Linked DNA regions of Daphnia pulex. The protein of the gene in region 2 purifies or fractionates together with the protein of the main gene of each other region. This does not show direct contact. Links are inferred from orthologs where the notes say so. Each region holds a gene or a part of one and is shown on either strand. Other genes may lie near its edges.

Region 1 (5,851 bases), on a different chromosome or scaffold from region 2:
GTCAATAACAGCATTGCCAAATGTCCAACCCATTACTAATGTACTCCAGGTCCAGGTTACCAGATACCAGGTATTTTAATTTTTCAAGTGTAAACTCACTTAGTCCCAGCCCAGTCCTCGCTGTCCTGCAGTCCTGTGTATAGTGATGCAGTGCCAATCCACCTTTCCACCCAGTCTATATGGTCTGTCTTATATGTCAAATAAATTTATAGACTGTTTCCACCATGCACCATGAGTTAATCCAAAGACAAACACACAGGAGTCACATATCAAGACCACTTCTTTATCTGTGCTTGAGTGGGAAATCAGACCAATCACATAATGACTCGCTTAAGACATAAAAAACTTCTGATTTCAGTTCACTAAGTGAAGACATTTTAAGTTGTCTGTTTTTTTTTATTGTAATCATTTCATGTTTATTTCTAATAAAATGAAATAAAAATTACTTAACCTAAACAATTTATTGTCTTTGTTATTTAAAAGGGGAACTCAAGAAAATATCAGCGTCAGAACGGTTTGTATTCAGTACGTCGTTTACAAGACAACAGTTATTCATCGCCAGAATCACCCAAGATTTCATTAAAAATAGCTCCAGCTCTTTTCTTGCCAGTTGCTTTTGGGTTCTTCATCTTCTTTTTCTTCTCTTTTTTCTTTTTTTTCCCACCTTCACCACGATTGCTCGCAACTTCTTTAACAATTTTAGCTGCATTTTTGTCCTCAAAAACCTCTTCATCAAGCGGGTCCAAATCGCATAGATCTCCTGTCGGTTGTCTTGCTGCCAGCGACAACTTTTGCTCAATTTTCTGACGATACTTCAATCCTGTTTGTAAGTTCAGCATTCGGCGATACTAAAGAAGAAACTTGATAGGATGTGTTGTAAGTGGAAAAGGATTATTTAAAAATACCGCATTTGGCGTAACATAACTAGAATTTTCCCAAATAGTTTCTCCGCCAAAACTCCCATCGAAAACTTTGATGGGATTCAACACAAATCGTGGCCCTATACATTCGAATCATTTTAAACAACAATCTTAGAAACCAAAGGGAAAAAAAATAAAAATACCTATTTCCGCAAGCTGACCATCCTCTTCAAGAATTTGAAAGTTTCGAAACCAGATCCGATTTTCAATTATCGTAAAAGTGAAAACATGGTCAAAGAATGGTTGACTTTTGGGATGATTTTTAGGAGTTGAAAAGATCTTAAAATTTTAAAATAAAAAAAAATTATGTCATCCTGAAGAAAATATAAATAAAACCTTGCCTGTGTCATGAGTTCCTTTAATAGAGACCAATGTGGATGTGTGTCAAAACTGGAGTCAAACGATAGCAATGGTCTTGTGCCCTTTAAGCAATTTCCAGTCATTTTCAATTCTTTCATTGTGTGCACTAGTAAAAAATAATAAATTTAGTACTGATCATATTATTACTTTAATAAACTGACCATTTTCAATATAAAATTTAGCACTAGGCCCTTTTGGAACATCTGCAAGCCAAAGAAACAAATCTTGTTTTTTCCTTCCTTCAAAAAATATGCATTTACTACAATTCTTCATTTCACAAATCTACATGAAGATGTTATTTGAATATTAGTACTTAATTTATGAAATTGAAAAGAAAATGTTACTTCATTGATGACAAATAGAGGGTCCTTTCTCTCAAATTTACTTTCTGTTTTGGAGTGAGGCATCATATCACGCAAGTCAACCATCAAGTGCCTATCTCTTTGTGTTATTCCACGTGCAGCAAAGACAAGAACTCTTTGTTTGTTCACCCATTTCGCCTATTTGATTTAAGCATGAATTAAAAAAATTGTCACTGATTTTTAGATTAGCATATACCTTTTTCGTCACAGGCTCGTCTGATGTTCGCACCAATGGCAATGCAGTTTCTTCAATTTTGTTATCTTTCGATTCCGGCATGATGGTGCTCTTCTTTCTTTTCGCCATCATGAAAGTGTAAAAGCTTAAAAATTGTTAGCAGGCACTTCGAGATTTAAGCTTGAAATTCTGAACCAACTAACGACAGAATGTTGAAGCAGAAGACACAAAGACCACGTGCGAGTGAACGTATACTGCATTACTGCCTTCATTTGTTTTAAGGGTGCGTTCATAAACATATCTGATTTCTCGGCTGTCCCTAAACTGCGAAAGCGAAACGCGAAACGCGAAACGCCTAAAATGCGGAAAAGCTGTGCGAAACGGACCCAAAAGTTGGGACCCTGTTTCGCATTTTAGGCCTTGGGTCCGTACTAAAATGCGAAATCGGTGGGTGCGAAATGTCAACAGAACGTCAACAGACGACGCCATTAACATACTTGCGTCACAAAAATCTACTCGTCAAGGGGCGTATCAAGTAAGTTATCCGAGCAATCGCGATTCCATAAGCATACACGGGAAAATCCCTCTACCGGGAATCAGTTCGAACTAAATTTTCCGTGTATAAAATTTGATTGCTCCCCCCTTTCAATGTCTTAAACAAAAATAATCCCACAGCGCCCAGCGGGGTACATTAACACATTGTTACGTCGTCGACGTTCTCTATGTCATTCGATCAATCTGTTTCTCTTAGCCGGAATTTCTCTCAACAGTTGTTCGCCGAGGAAAATCGGCTGACCAAGTCAAATGGAAAAAACTATCAGCCGATAGCAGCCCGGCGTCTAAATATATATAGCTATTCGATTAAAATTTATTGAAAATGCCACCCAGCTAAAACGTGCTGAAAGCTTCTTCCGCCTCTATTCCACAAAGACTTAATTGGAGATTTCTCATTCAAGAGCTCATCCGAGGGACCCCCGTGCTCTTGAAGAAACAAGAGTAATCGAGTCGACTAAATAAATTTAATTTGATAAGACTGTTTTCCCATGAAATACAAACATTTTATTTTCAAAACTCTAGCGAAAAGTAATATTCGTTAATATATAGTGTACACAGTACACACATTCATATCCATACATACATTCACATTACATATACTATGAGTCATGAAACATGGCGGCCTAAACGGGCCTCATCCGTCAATTTGCACTCTGGTGGGGAAAAGAAAACATTTTCGTTTCGCATTTTGAGGTTTCGCATTTTAGTATGCCCTCCGGCATTTGGTCCCGCGAAACGGTCCAAAAATTTTGGTCCGTTTCGCACAGCCTTTCCGCATTTTAGGCGTTTCGCGTTTCGCGTTTCGCTTTCGCAGTTTAGGGACAGAGCCTGATTTCTCCATTCCCATTCGTGGAAAATGTTCCAATTCCAAATTTGAAAATGCTGTCTCAGACGGCCACTGGATTACGAACTTGTGCTCTAACTTAACTAAGCTATTACTAAGCTTAAATTAGTTAATATTAATAATAATTTATTTTATATAATTCCTTAATATATTATCTCTCCTCTCGCCAACACAAGACTCGAGCCAATCGCATGTCGCCATGCTCGCAAACAGATAAAGGCCTCTTCAGGAAATAAACTAAACAATAAACGAAAGCAAGGGTATGGAAAGATGGATGCCAATGACCATGTTAAATTTCCCATAAGGGGATTCGACGGCAAGCTACTTTGCTACTTTTTTACTAGCGATTTTGTATGGAGGTCGAGTTGAATCAACGCCATCTAGGACGTTGCGAGTTGCGACATATAAACAGTCAACTCGACCTTTTAGTAAAATGAGCAGACGGCCCCTTATGGGAAATTTTTAAAAATGGATGCTGGAAACCATCTCTCCATAGTCCATACTCCATACCACTGACGAAAGGCAAGGCTTTCAAAAAACAGGGTTATATGGTTGGCTGCTGTGCGAAATTGGAAGCGAAAGGAAGCTTCTCGATAAGTCGATTTATTTTTCCACTTGCGGTATTAAAACTAAAACCCTTTGCACTATTATAAGTAAATATATACATATAATAGGCTACAAGCAAATTTGTCAGATGTAATTTTTTCACTCTGATATATAAAATGCAGGAAAAGCTGCGATACGACGAAGGAAAGATAAAATTGTTGAAAAGAATTCAAGAAATGAATATTTATACTTGCATTGCCTACTGCCTACGTTGCTTACTTGCCAGGAGATAAGCAAACAATCTGTACCACTAATTATGCATCGAAAAAGGTTGAGCATGCGGTTTTGTTATTTCCTAATAATTAGTTCTAGACTTCTATGCAATCGCCAATCGGGAGGAAGTTTACAACATGCAATGCAATCCTCTTATCCGCGCCGAAAAGCAGTTTGGTGTTTTGGTCTGCCAGTGAAAAAATTCCGCTAGGTTCGCCCTCTATGAAAAAAACCCCAGTCGTGCCTTATCCTTCCTTATCATTCCCCCTTCATGGCCTTATGGACGTATGAAAAACCATTTTACTTTGGAAAAAACCTAAATTGAAATAAATCTTGTGAATACTTAAAAGTATATTTTCTTTGAATTAAAAATGAATGTACCTCCTCCGAAACCTCCAAAACCAGGTATTAGTAATATTCAACACTTCAATTTACAGTTAAAAAAGTTTTCCCTGCCTCCTCTGTCAATGTGTCAATAATATTGAAATGTCATGACAGGGCAAGTGAAAGTCGTTAAAGCATTATACGCCTATACGGCACAGCATGTAAGTTTTATTTTTTTGCTATACAATTCTAACAATTAAGGCTTCAGAAATAATCTTAATTAACATGCTCATATTCCTAGCCTGATGAACTGTCATTTGAAGAAGGAGAGTTGTTATATGTCATGGAATCCTCCTCAGACCCTAACTGGCTAAAGGCTAAGTGTGGTACCTGTACTGGATTAATTCCCTGCAATTATGGTAACTTGAATCAAATATTGTTATCCATTGAAAAGTGTTATTAAGGAAACAATCAACACATTTTCTGTTTCATTTTCTGTCAGTTGAAGAAAATGCTGAGTTGATAACAATGCCCCTTCATGATGCATGTCGGCGTGGGAATGTCTTATTTTTAGAAGAGGCAATTCTCAATGGAGTGTCTGTGAATGCAAGTTAATTAGCTCCATTTAGGAGTTATAACTGATGCTGAAGTTTCATTATTTTTTTTTAAGCAACTCGATAAAGCAGGTAATACAGCCTTGTTCTGGGCAGCCCATGGAGGACATATTTCTTGCATGCAACTATTACTGCAATCAGAAAAAATTGATTTAAATGCTCAAGTAATTAATTTACCTAATTTTATTATTTATTTTATAATCTAATAGATATTTGTTTATATATACATAGAATAAATTAGGAGACACTGCACTTCATGCTGCTGCTTGGAAAGGTAGAATTGAAGCTGTTAGTTTGCTACTTTCAAGTGGAGCAAAAACAAACATTTTAAATTGTGAAGGGAACAAAGCCTTAGCTCTTTCCAGGGATCCTGAGATTATCAATATGATAGCCAAGCATGATGATAGCCTTATATCAAACAATGTTAGTGAATACTTTGGTAATGCTGAGGAATTGGATTCTGACTGATAAATTATTATGTCTTAATGGAATCAGTTCTTTCTTGAAAAGCAGGCTGAAGTTAACAAACTAAATTTTCATGAAATATCTTTTACATTTACTTCTTTCAATGTGTGCTGTATTTTCAAATTGATTTGTTTATTTTTTATTCACATATAGGAATGTTATTTGTTTTACAACTTGTAAAATGTTCATATTGTTGTGAATCATTGTTTTTAGTTTCGGTGATAAATACATTCAGTAAAAAATAAAATTACCCTAAAAACAAATTCTCAAAAGTATTTTATTTTGATTCTATGTCAAAATTTGTTTGATTCTTCCCGTACAGATTCAGGTTACAAGGTTTGAGATTTTTTTTTCTTTTTTTTTTTATAAAAAAGACGTACTCGAGGTTAGGGCTGAAACACGGGCCATGAATA
Region 2 (10,767 bases):
GAGTAGACGCTTGAGCATGGATAAAAAGAAAAGGAAAGCTTACCATCGGCAGCATTGCGCAAAACGAAAATTCAGAGATTCCCAAAACCACAACGCTGCACCAACAAAGAAAAAACAATCGTCAAAGAAAAGAATGCCAAGGGACGAATATGGCCACCGATTGGAGCGAGCGTTCAGTATTTCCAGCGAATCAAATACCAGTCATACCGAGTTGCAAGGAATTGATCACCACGAGAATTTCTCTTCCATGCCTTGGTACAGCGGTTGCTCAATTTGGCTGCAGCAAATGTTGGCAGCGGCCGTTGAGGACTTGATCAACACCAAAGAGGCCTTCGTCATTCGCATGTGTAAATCTTTTCTTGACGATTCAGCCGACCAACCAGCTTGGGACACTTTGCCCAGTGATTGTCATAGTATTGGTGTTTTGGTCTCTGCTCTCAAAGGAAATATTGACATGTTGAAATATTTCCTTGGACTTGGAGGTGATGCCAATGCCATCGATTTGCTGAACAGGACGGCCCTACATTACGCGGCCAGTTCTTCTAGTTCAAACGCCCCCCAATGCATTGAAATATTAATCGAACACGGTGCAGCCGTTGACGTGTGGGATCGAAACGAAGAAGCGACTCCGCTCATTTGCGCCGCCGCTTCAGGTCGTATCGAATTGGTCGAAGTCCTTTTAAATGCCGGAGCAGAAGTCAATGCAGGGCTTTCCGATCCCAAACATTTGGACGGTAGTAGTCCTTTATTATGGGCCATAAGAGCTCGTTCGATAGTTTGCGCTACGCGTCTAATCAAGGCCGGTGCTGCTGTCAACAGTTTGCAAGTTTACACCGAGTCGCCGATTCATGTGGCGGCTGTCCAAGGCGACGTTCAATGGTATTATTATTATAATTATTATATAAATTAATAGTTAATAATAATAATAAATTAATTACTGGCTCAGTATGCAATTGCTGTTGGAAAATCAAGCAGACATCCGTGTGGTCTTCGGAGCCGAGAGGAGGAATGCTCTTCACTTGGCATCTTTCGAAGGCAACGTGGAATGCATTCGATTGCTTTTACAGACCAGCAAAGCGCAAATCAACACCAAGGATGCCCTAGGTCGGACACCTTTACATTTGGCGGCCCTTTCTCAATCAGTGGACTCGGTTAAAGAACTCTTGGAAAACGGAGCGGAAATTGACAATTGCGATGAAATGAAGGAGACGCCACTTCACGGGGCTGTAGTCAAATGTCGTCAGTCGACCGAGGTCGTCAAGTTGTTAATTTCCAAGGGAGCTAATGTCAATGCAAAGGATCAGTTTGGACAAACGCCACTTCACATAGCGGCGTTTAATGAAAATTCAAAATTGGCTATCCTTTTGATCCATTCGGGAGCCGATCTGTCAATTAAGAATCGAGCAAAAATTTCGGCTTTGGCCTCAGTCGTCCGACGAGTACCCGACGCCTTGACAGCCATTTCACGCAAATTAGATTCAGCTATTGACGTTGTCGACAACGAGCCAGCCGATCCTGATTGTCAATTGAAGTTGGATTTAAGGTTACTTGACTTTTATTTGTAATTATTAAACATTTTTTTTTTTTAATATAGTTTTTCCTTTAGAGTTTTAGTACCAGGGGGCAACCAGCAAAATGTTGGAGAAATGGGTTTCCTGACGTCGTTGGTGGCGGCCGAACAACGACACATTCTTCAGCATCCAATTATTGGGGCTTTTCTTCACTTGAAGTGGATGAAAATTCGCACCACTTTTGTAGTCTCGCTAATCTTTCAACTTTTATACGTTCTCGCCCTGACATCCAACATTTACTCCATTTATGTTGTTAAAATGAACACGAGAGTAAACGATACGCAAACAACGAACAATACGACGAACAACTCGACGTCATTCACTGATTGGCCAATGGAGTTGGATACCACATTGTGGTATTTGACAGTCTTATTGGGGGCGGCGACAGGTGTCAAGGAATTTTTCCAACTTTACTGCAATGCGCACGAATATGCGAGGGATATAGAGAACTATTTCCAACTCATTTCCATCTTTGGAATGATCCTTATCCTTTCCCCTCACCCAATGCACACAGGTGAGCCCGATAATGGTGATTGGCAACATCACGTTGCCGCCATCGTTATTATCGTGGCATGGATTAATCTCATGTTGCACGTCGGTCGATTTCCTGGTAATGTTCTGATTTATCTCTCCATTTTTAATAGACTCTAATTCATTGATTTTATTTTTCTTTAGTGTTTGGTCTGTACGTGCAAATGTTTACGACTGTCGCGTGGAACATTGGCAAACTGTTGGTGGCTTATATGAGTCTCATCGTGGGATTTTCTCTAGGATTCGCAGTTCTCTTTCCTTCGGAAAGTGTCTATAACAACATGCCCTACGCACTTTTGACGACGATCGTCATGATGACGGGCGAAATGAATTACGCCGACATGTATACCGAGGGAAAAATCAAATATCCCGGAACAACCCATTTCGTCTTCCTGGTTTTTCTTCTTTTCGTCGTCATCGTTCTGATGAATTTACTCGTCGGTTTGGCCGTCTCCGATATTCAAGGCTTGCAGAAATCGGCTGGTCTGGATCGCCTCGTTCGATTAACAAAACAAATTGCTCGCATGGAAAGTTTCGTTTTCTTTCCTTGGCCCATCCATTTTTCCAGTATCTGGTCAAAGGTTCCAAGACGTGAATTCATACGGCGAAATGTCCTGGTCGTCTCACCCAAAACCAGAAAAAATTACAACTTCCGACCCAACGATCCGCGTGATAAAAGCTTCCCACCCGAAATCAAAGAAAGCCTGTTGAAAATAATTGCTGTAAGGATAGCGAACAAGAAGAAAGGCGCACAACAAAAGTCGTCCCACGTACCAATCATTCGAACTGCAACGATACCTTTGGATTCAAATAACGGAGAGCTCTTTACGGAAGTGATGAACAGAGTTGACGAACTCTTCCATAATTACATGACACAAATCGTTACGATAAATTCGACGATAGAAGATCAACTCGCGCAGCTGACGGCCAAATACAACTACCCATCGACTCGATCACGACAGACAAGGCATTCTTGTGATTGTTCCATGATTAACGAAGAATCCTTCAGTGTTCCTGGAATGAGCTCACTGGCTTGATGATCCACCCACCCATTTTTAAAATCAGTATATAACCTTTTGCTCAATAACATATTCAATGGTCAATTCATTTCCATGAATTTCCACACTCGAGTCGATAACTAACACTAATTATTTAAAAAAAAATTATAATTACCAAATATCCGGGAAATGTGGTATGGATCCAGCTTTTGTAGAAGTGATATTATGTCTGAGCTTGTACAACTTGTAGCATAGCGTTTTGTTTGCTCCGTTTGGAGGACATCTACGAGATAAAATAAAAATGGTTACCGTAACGTGATGGGAAACAATTTTTGCTATTCCATAATCAAAGAATGAGAAGTTCATAATTTACATTTAATTGAATATCGTGAAATTTAAAGTTTCTTACGAAAAACATTTTTTAAAGTGTAAAAACTGAAAAAAGTTAGCATGTTCCATCAGCAGGATGTTGTAAAGCGCATGAGTGCATGACAACGGTAAGACCGTTAGGCAGTAAAAATGCCTTAGAGTGTTGTGTTGCCCAGGGCTCATGAACACAACCGTGTCAGTCTGTGCTTGTGTTTCTAACTTGATATCATTCGTTGGAAAATAACTTTCAGGGTGAAGCCGTCTCTAAATCTTCGTGTGACCATGGATGCCTTTCGAAGCTTTGTATACGAATTGTACATCATGGTTAAATTTATTTATCTCAGTGCAAAACAATTGTTCCAAGAAGCCTGCAGAACTGTGAAACCACTCAATGGTAAACAAAGAAATTATTTTCCATATTCGTGATTCAATATTTTACATTTCGTTCATCAGATCCTATCAATCGACGAGAAGAATATGCTATAATCACCGGTGGGAATCGAGGATTAGGTTTCTACACTCTTCTGGGCTTGCAGGCTTCTGGAATGAAAGTCATTGCAGGTACAAAACAGGTTTTCTTTTCAATCTACTGTCAAAATGGACGAAATTCTAAACACTGTTAACGTAATACAGGTTGCCGGGATGGAAGAAGTAAACAACAACTATTTGAGAATTTGGAAGAAGCTGGTATTCCAGCCGATTCAGTGGAATGGATAAATCTCGACTTGTCATCGTTAAATTCGATCAGAAATTTTGCAAAAGTTGTCACTGACAGAAACATCCCGATCAGTCTACTCATAAACAATGGTATTTTTTTTCTCGTGATTATTCAAGGCAAACATTTAAAGACAAATTTTGTTTTGATAACAGCCGCCGTTATGTTCACACCCTATGGCTTGACAACAGACGGTTTAGAGCAACAGTTTGCTGTCAACTACCTGGGACATTTTCTCTTAACTCATCTACTCTTACCTCGATTAATTGAAGCAGGAAAGCATCATCGTTATGCTTCACGAATCGTTAACGTTGCTTCAGATGTATCTTACCTCGGCTATCTAGAACTCAATGACTTAAACGCCAAGTATAATATTTCTAAGGGTCGTTAGTAAACAGCTAATAATTTCTTTTTACCCCACCCCTTAAAGGTCTTTTTACAACAGATTTGTGGCTTATTCCCAGTCCAAATTAGCACAGGTTTTATTTAACGAAATGCTCCATGATCGTTTGACACAAAATAACTATCCTGTCAAGTGCTACGCCATGCATCCGGGTGTTATTCAATCCAACTGGTACGCCAATGGAAGGTTTTTGAAAATCGGTTTTCGTATCGTTGGCTTCTTACTTAAGGTATAGTTATACGAGAAAAGAAAAAGTAAATAATGTTACTTTAATTTTTAAAAACTTTTGATAGAGAGAACCAGTTGCAGCCCAACGAGTTTTGTATACAGCATTTTCACCCGAATTGGAAAACTCCAGCGGTTGCTATTTATCAGATTGCAAAATAACAACACCCGCCACTAAATCAATCTGTCCAAGTATGCGATTAAAGCTGTGGGATGCAACACACAAATTACTTGATATTGAAGAATTTGGAAAAGTTAAAAGTTCCCAATAATAAAAAGCGTGTCAAACAAAAACGAAAGACCTCATTTTCTAGTTCCTAACTGAAAAAAAGTAAAAAAACATGATTCATGGCTGCAATCCATCGATTTATTGGATCGTAGAGCACAGACAAACGAAGTCGAATAATCTACTCGTCGTCGGCTTCGGCAGAAGCCTCCAGTTTGGAGAGGAATTCCCTCTTCTTGGTGGCAACACGAGCCTTGCGCTCTTCCAGGGTGAGCCTCTTGGCGTTCCAGCGCTTCTTCTTGATCTTGGATGGATCCTTGCTGGACTTCTGCTTCTCGGGGTCAGCTCGGATAGCTTCATGGGCCTTCTTGTACATGGTCTCGACCTGATGAATGATAATAGATAAAAACTACGTTTTTTTAATGCAAATCATATGAATAACTGAACTTACGGTATCGGCAACAATGCCATGCTTGATGAACTGAGAGAATTGCTTCTTGTAAGCTTCTTCATCTTCATCCACCAATTGACGCATGTAGTCAGCAACATGGGCACCCATGATGTGCTTACGGTGAACTTCGGCGTTGAAATCCTTGGATTCGGAATCGTAGCCGGGGAAACGCTTGGTGCTGTGGGGAACGTCAATTCCACCATCGACGGCTCCCTTCATGGCGCCGAAGATGCGAGCACCGGTGGTGGTGCGGGCCAAACCGACATCGAGGCAAGCGCGGAATGCACCTGGTCCATCGTCAACATCTTCAACATTGAAGACTCCTCCAGTAACTTCAGTGCAGCCTTGGTAGATGGTGTCCAACTTGAACTTCTTCAACAGCTACAGGAAAATGTTGACAGTTTAGTCATTGTACTGGTTTTTCAACAACACGGTCAAACTTACTCTTCTTGCGAGCAAAAGTCCAGTACAGTATGCAGCAGCATAGTTAGTCAACCCAACCTTGACACCGTAGTGAGGAAGTTCATGACTGTATGCAGCACAAACAATCACGTCTCCTTCAATACGAGCGTACGCTATCTGCAAGACAAGACACAAATAAATTGAAAGATCAAAACATGAAAAGACTGCAGTCAGTGGGTGATCCAAAAATTACCTGACAACAAATGTCTTTGTTGGTGAATCGAACAATCATGCGGTACTTGGGGGTGTTGTACTTGTTCTTGTCCTGAACTACAAGACGACGGCGGGCATAGTAATCGGTCTTTCCCTCACGACGCCTGCGGAACTTGACTTGAAACCGCTTGAAATAAGCCTTGTTCTTGATCACTTTAATAAATCCCTATAAAAAACAAACACGTTAAGCGGCATGACAAGTCATATTGAATCCAACGATATCACAACTTAAATACGACATCTATCGTTATGCAACTTTTAAATTTGGTTAGGGTGTTACTTGACACAAAGTTATACGTTAGAAACTTACCATGGTGGAGATATATTATTTGAATAGCTTCGGTTTAAGGGCGAAAAATGGCCGGACTGTGGCTTCGACTACTCGTCGAGGCCCTGCTTAACTGAGAAAGGTATGGTTGGCCTTAAAGCTGAAATCAACGTCTGTCAGTGTTGCCAAGTAGGAAATTTTTAGTCCGCTTTACTTGTTTATTATTATTTTTCATTTAATAATTGAATTTTTATACAAAAAAAAAATATTTTATAATTAATATAGATAGTATTAAGCTTCAATACATTCATAATTCATAGAAAATAACAAATGTCATTTTTCAATCTCTCAGCTGTTTTGCTGTTCTTATGTCAGCTGTGAGCTGTCAAAATTTGAAAATCGCAATATTAGCCTACTTGGGCCTAGGAAAATTGCTGTTTGCTGTTTACCTTAGTTCTCCTTGTTGTGTTGATTAATCTTGTGTTCTTCATGTATTTTGAAGACAGTGCAAAATGGTTAAAGGATTCCAATTTCCTTATGGTCTTGATTGGATTGGGATTAGTTTACATAACATTTAAAGTTCTAAAATACACAAACAAGAGGGTATGTAAGCATTGTGTGTTAGTACAGATATCAACGCGTGATTTTAAAATGATTTTTCTGTAATAATAATGTTTCTGGGATTATTCCAGGGGTTGCTGAAAGAAAGAATCAGGCGCAAACTGGGTCAGGTCAAAGAAAATCAAAATAAATTGGAACAACATCTTAAAAATCATGATGACCCAGTTATTGAAAAGCGTAAGGAGATAGTCCAGCTGGATATAGAAGAATTGCTAAAGAAGCTTCAAAATGGGGATTTGAGCTGTCTGGAAGTGCTGAGAGCATATCAAGCAAAGGTAATCACTATAGCAAGTCTTCAAGTGTTTTTACTGATAAAAATTAATCACTCTTTTTTTTCTTTTAGGCTCTGGATGTAACAAAAGAATTAAACTGTGTCACAGAATTCATCAAAGAAGCAGAGGTATTGTAAAAGTCTGAAATAATTTTTGTGTATATCCTTTGTATGTTAACGCAATTGCAATGCATATTTATTCAGAAATGGGCAGAAGAACTGGACGCTAGCACTGATACAAAAAAAACGCTCCATGGTCTTCCGTTTAGCGTCAAAGATAACGTCAGTGTCGGTACGGTATGCCGTTTTGCCGGCAGAATATTAAAATCAAGCATAATATTAAAACACTATGTTTGTTTTTAGTTGGCTATGATTGCACGGCGGGAATTTCGAAGTTTATTGATCAATCTGCAGTGGAAGATGCCGCTTTGGTCTCTGCACTCAGAGGCCTTGGGGCCATACCATTTTGCCGAACTAATGTCCCCCAAACATTGTTAAGGTATAGTTGCCAATGCAGTTTTGCGTTTAGCTAGAATGGTACGTTTAAATTCATTTTGTCTCCTACCAACAGTTTTGGATGTAGTAATCCGATATGGGGTTCTACGAAAAACCCCTTTTGTAAAGAGCGAACACCAGGCGGTTCCTCTGGTGGAGAAGCAACTTTAGTTGCTGCTGGAGGTTCCCTACTCGGTAAAATTCTTCGAATACATTAATATTATATTGAAATAAAGTTTAGAAAAAAATCGTGTATAACATTTACCAGGAATTGGTAGTGATATCGGGGGAAGTATTCGCATTCCGGCGGCTTTCTGTGGAGTTTTTTCAATTAAACCTACCAGTTTAAGACTCAGGTATTTCAATATTCTGGTTATTCACTTCCCTGAATTCGAAATATTTTTCTGTCTATCTAGCTACAAAGGATTTAGAAAATCGGCCGTTGGTTGCATTGGAAGTAAGGCAACAAACCTTCAAACCATTACATTCTTTTAATTTTGTAATCCAATTTTGTAGTTCCTTCTGTACCGGGAATCTTGGCGCGAGATTCAAAAACCGTGATAATGCTCTGCAAACTACTCCTTGACGATGGTTACATCCGGAGATACTTCGATCCAGATTTGCTTCCAATTCCTTGGAATGAACAAGTAAGAAATTATTAGTAAAAATATTTCTTTCCCATGAAAACGTTTGTAATATGTAAAATTATTAACGTAAAATAGATATTTGGCCTTTCTAACAAATTACGGATCGGTTACTACGAAGAATGCGACTACTTCCCCTGTACACCTGGTGTCCGACGAGCTGTTCGAGTGGCTAAGGAAAAGTTGGAGGCGTTAGGGCACGAACTCATTCCATTTGTTCCGCCACGCGTTGATTACGTTATCAGTTCTGTCATCAGCATGTTTTATGCGGATCAAGGCAGATACGTGTTGGAGGCTCTGTAAGTCATCGACTTTTCAATAGTTTAGTTGGAAAAGAATCTAATAATTTAATTTGATCTTCTCCTACAGCTCAGTTGATGACATTGATCCATTGTTAGTTTTACAAATCAAAGTAAGTTGAACTGTTTCAATTTTACTATAATAAGTTTTTTAAACGAATGTCTTCTTAGGTTGCACTGAAGCTACCGCACCTTGTAAAGCAAATTATTCGGCCATTGCTGGCTTTAATCGCACCTCGTCTCGAGCCATGTTTCATGGGTAAGTCGATAGTCTTCTAGCATAAAATGACGGCCTAAAATTTACTCCATTCGCCGAATTAGCTGCTGCCGGGCATCAGTATCGCCATTCTTACCAACTCTGGCATGGAATACTTAAGCAGAGCGAATATAAAGCGAATTTTCTAGCTGATTGGAGGAATCTTCGCTTGGATACATGCATCGGTCCGGGATTCGCTTGCCCTGCTCCTCTAGCCAAAGACACTGGCCGTGTAACACGTAAGTGGTGCACCGCTTGCAAACTTTATTTATGCCCGGATTAGCTAATGAAATAATTTTTTGGTTTCTTCCGACTAATAGCTGCATTTGCGTATGCGTGTCTCTACAATTTCCTTGACTTACCTGCTGGTATCGTTCCCGTCACCAAAGAAATGGAAGAAGACCAAAATATGCTTATGAATGGTGGCTATGATTTCAGAGATTTGGTCTGTAAACTTGTTAAAAAGGTAAGAAAAAAAAATCAATCATTTAGAGTTTTATTTAATCGTAACGTTTGATTCCTATTTGCCTAGACTACTCGGGGAGCTACTGGTTTGCCTATACCGGTCCAAGTTATTGGTCTTCCCTATCAAGAAGAAGTTGTGCTTCGCACTATGAGTATCCTGGATTCCGCCTTCCGAGTCTGAATTATCTCTTACGTAATCATTGCACTTTGCGCGGTACTAGTTTCTCCGTCCTTACGACAGTGTGCTACAAGAGCCACTTGGACCCTTAGAGGAAAGGTTATGGAACAATTAAAAGATTTTGAAATTAATAGTTATTGATATTATGGAAAGAGATTTTACAAATGTTAAATTTACTGTGATATTACAGTAATCAAAGCAGGTAGTTGTGTTAAGTATCGGGGATAAGAATTGATTTTAACATTCCATTACAGTTTATTATTGTAGCACAAAACAGTTGAAAATAAATGCGAAAATGTGTTTGCGTTCAAAAGCGATCATTTGATGTTTTCCCGAAAAGTTCAACAGGGAGGGATGTTTTACACGGCCTGACTTTTTGACCTGGAAAAATTTGAAAGGAAACCTGCAGTCGGCTTGTCGATTACCCAATCAGTCTGTGCTGCATCACGAGGTGTTCCGTAGACTTTGTCTACTTCTAATTTCGTTGCAATATAAGCCAATACGTCAAGGGATTCGAACCCTTCGACATGGAGAGAATGCGACTTCAAAGAAACCAAAAGACGCGGAAGAAAAAAATCGCATTTCACGTCCGTTTATTTCGCGCCAGCCATGAGAGCACGTCAAAGTGTACGGTTTAAAGAAACCCGACCCCTTGGAGCCCAAATCCAAATTGTGAAGCCTAAATGTTCTGAACGTTATCCCGTCAATCTATGCCGCCTTCAAAAATTGCAAAATTTCGCTTTAGCCGTTATACAGTGGATGCCGCCGGATGTCGAATCGATACTCTTCCGTAAATCGACTTTCAAAATATAATTCGAATTTTTTCGGCGGTCAAAGTTCCCACTCAACAGTTTCTAGACCCTGGCAAAGCAATTTCTGTTTGCAATCGGTGCTTGCGGCTATCTTGGATCGAGTGCGCGGGTGGACAGGAAGGACCGGAATGCTGCAGCAGAGAAAGAACACGCGAACAGCTGATAATGATGATGTCACACAAGAAAAGAGCCATCAACAGGAAGATAACGATCAGTTGCCGGATGACGAAAATGTGATCTCTTTTTCCCCCCCAGCAGGTGAATGGACCGAGCTCAGGGGGGCGTTGAACGAAG

Evidence for each region. Proteins that work in one complex are often made in the same cells at the same time.
Region 1: the proteins of 60S ribosomal protein L5-like (region 2) and ribosome biogenesis protein BRX1 homolog fractionate together in Homo sapiens (co-fractionation; 3 studies listed by BioGRID and IntAct, with this or other methods). This does not show direct contact. The link is inferred for Daphnia pulex from reciprocal best matches to the Homo sapiens genes RPL5 and BRIX1.

Annotation. Positions count from the first base shown.
Region 1 is NC_060022.1:6,870,184-6,876,034, reverse strand, and holds ribosome biogenesis protein BRX1 homolog, read right to left. Parts: upstream 2,087-5,851; 5' UTR 1,950-2,086; coding exon 1,839-1,949; intron 1,781-1,838; coding exon 1,625-1,780; intron 1,563-1,624; coding exon 1,442-1,562; intron 1,387-1,441; coding exon 1,262-1,386; intron 1,200-1,261; coding exon 1,064-1,199; intron 1,001-1,063; coding exon 906-1,000; intron 849-905; coding exon 549-848; 3' UTR 501-548; downstream 1-500. Other genes in the region: osteoclast-stimulating factor 1-like, read left to right, coding at 4,407-4,440, 4,534-4,580, 4,661-4,778, 4,862-4,965, 5,030-5,137, 5,205-5,441. UniProt on the Homo sapiens protein: Required for biogenesis of the 60S ribosomal subunit.
Region 2 is NC_060018.1:3,930,840-3,941,606, reverse strand, and holds 60S ribosomal protein L5-like, read right to left. Parts: upstream 6,615-10,767; 5' UTR 6,478-6,614; coding exon 6,475-6,477; intron 6,331-6,474; coding exon 6,145-6,330; intron 6,069-6,144; coding exon 5,934-6,068; intron 5,871-5,933; coding exon 5,490-5,870; intron 5,424-5,489; coding exon 5,220-5,423; 3' UTR 5,158-5,219; downstream 1-5,157. Other genes in the region: transient receptor potential channel pyrexia-like, read left to right, coding at 1-879, 947-1,543, 1,607-2,181, 2,247-3,139; short-chain dehydrogenase TIC 32 B, chloroplastic-like, read left to right, coding at 3,752-3,863, 3,923-4,030, 4,103-4,276, 4,340-4,550, 4,615-4,816, 4,881-5,084; fatty acid amide hydrolase 1-like, read left to right, coding at 6,922-7,035, 7,125-7,328, 7,397-7,453, 7,529-7,616, 7,688-7,823, 7,896-8,014, 8,088-8,175, 8,236-8,276 and 7 more.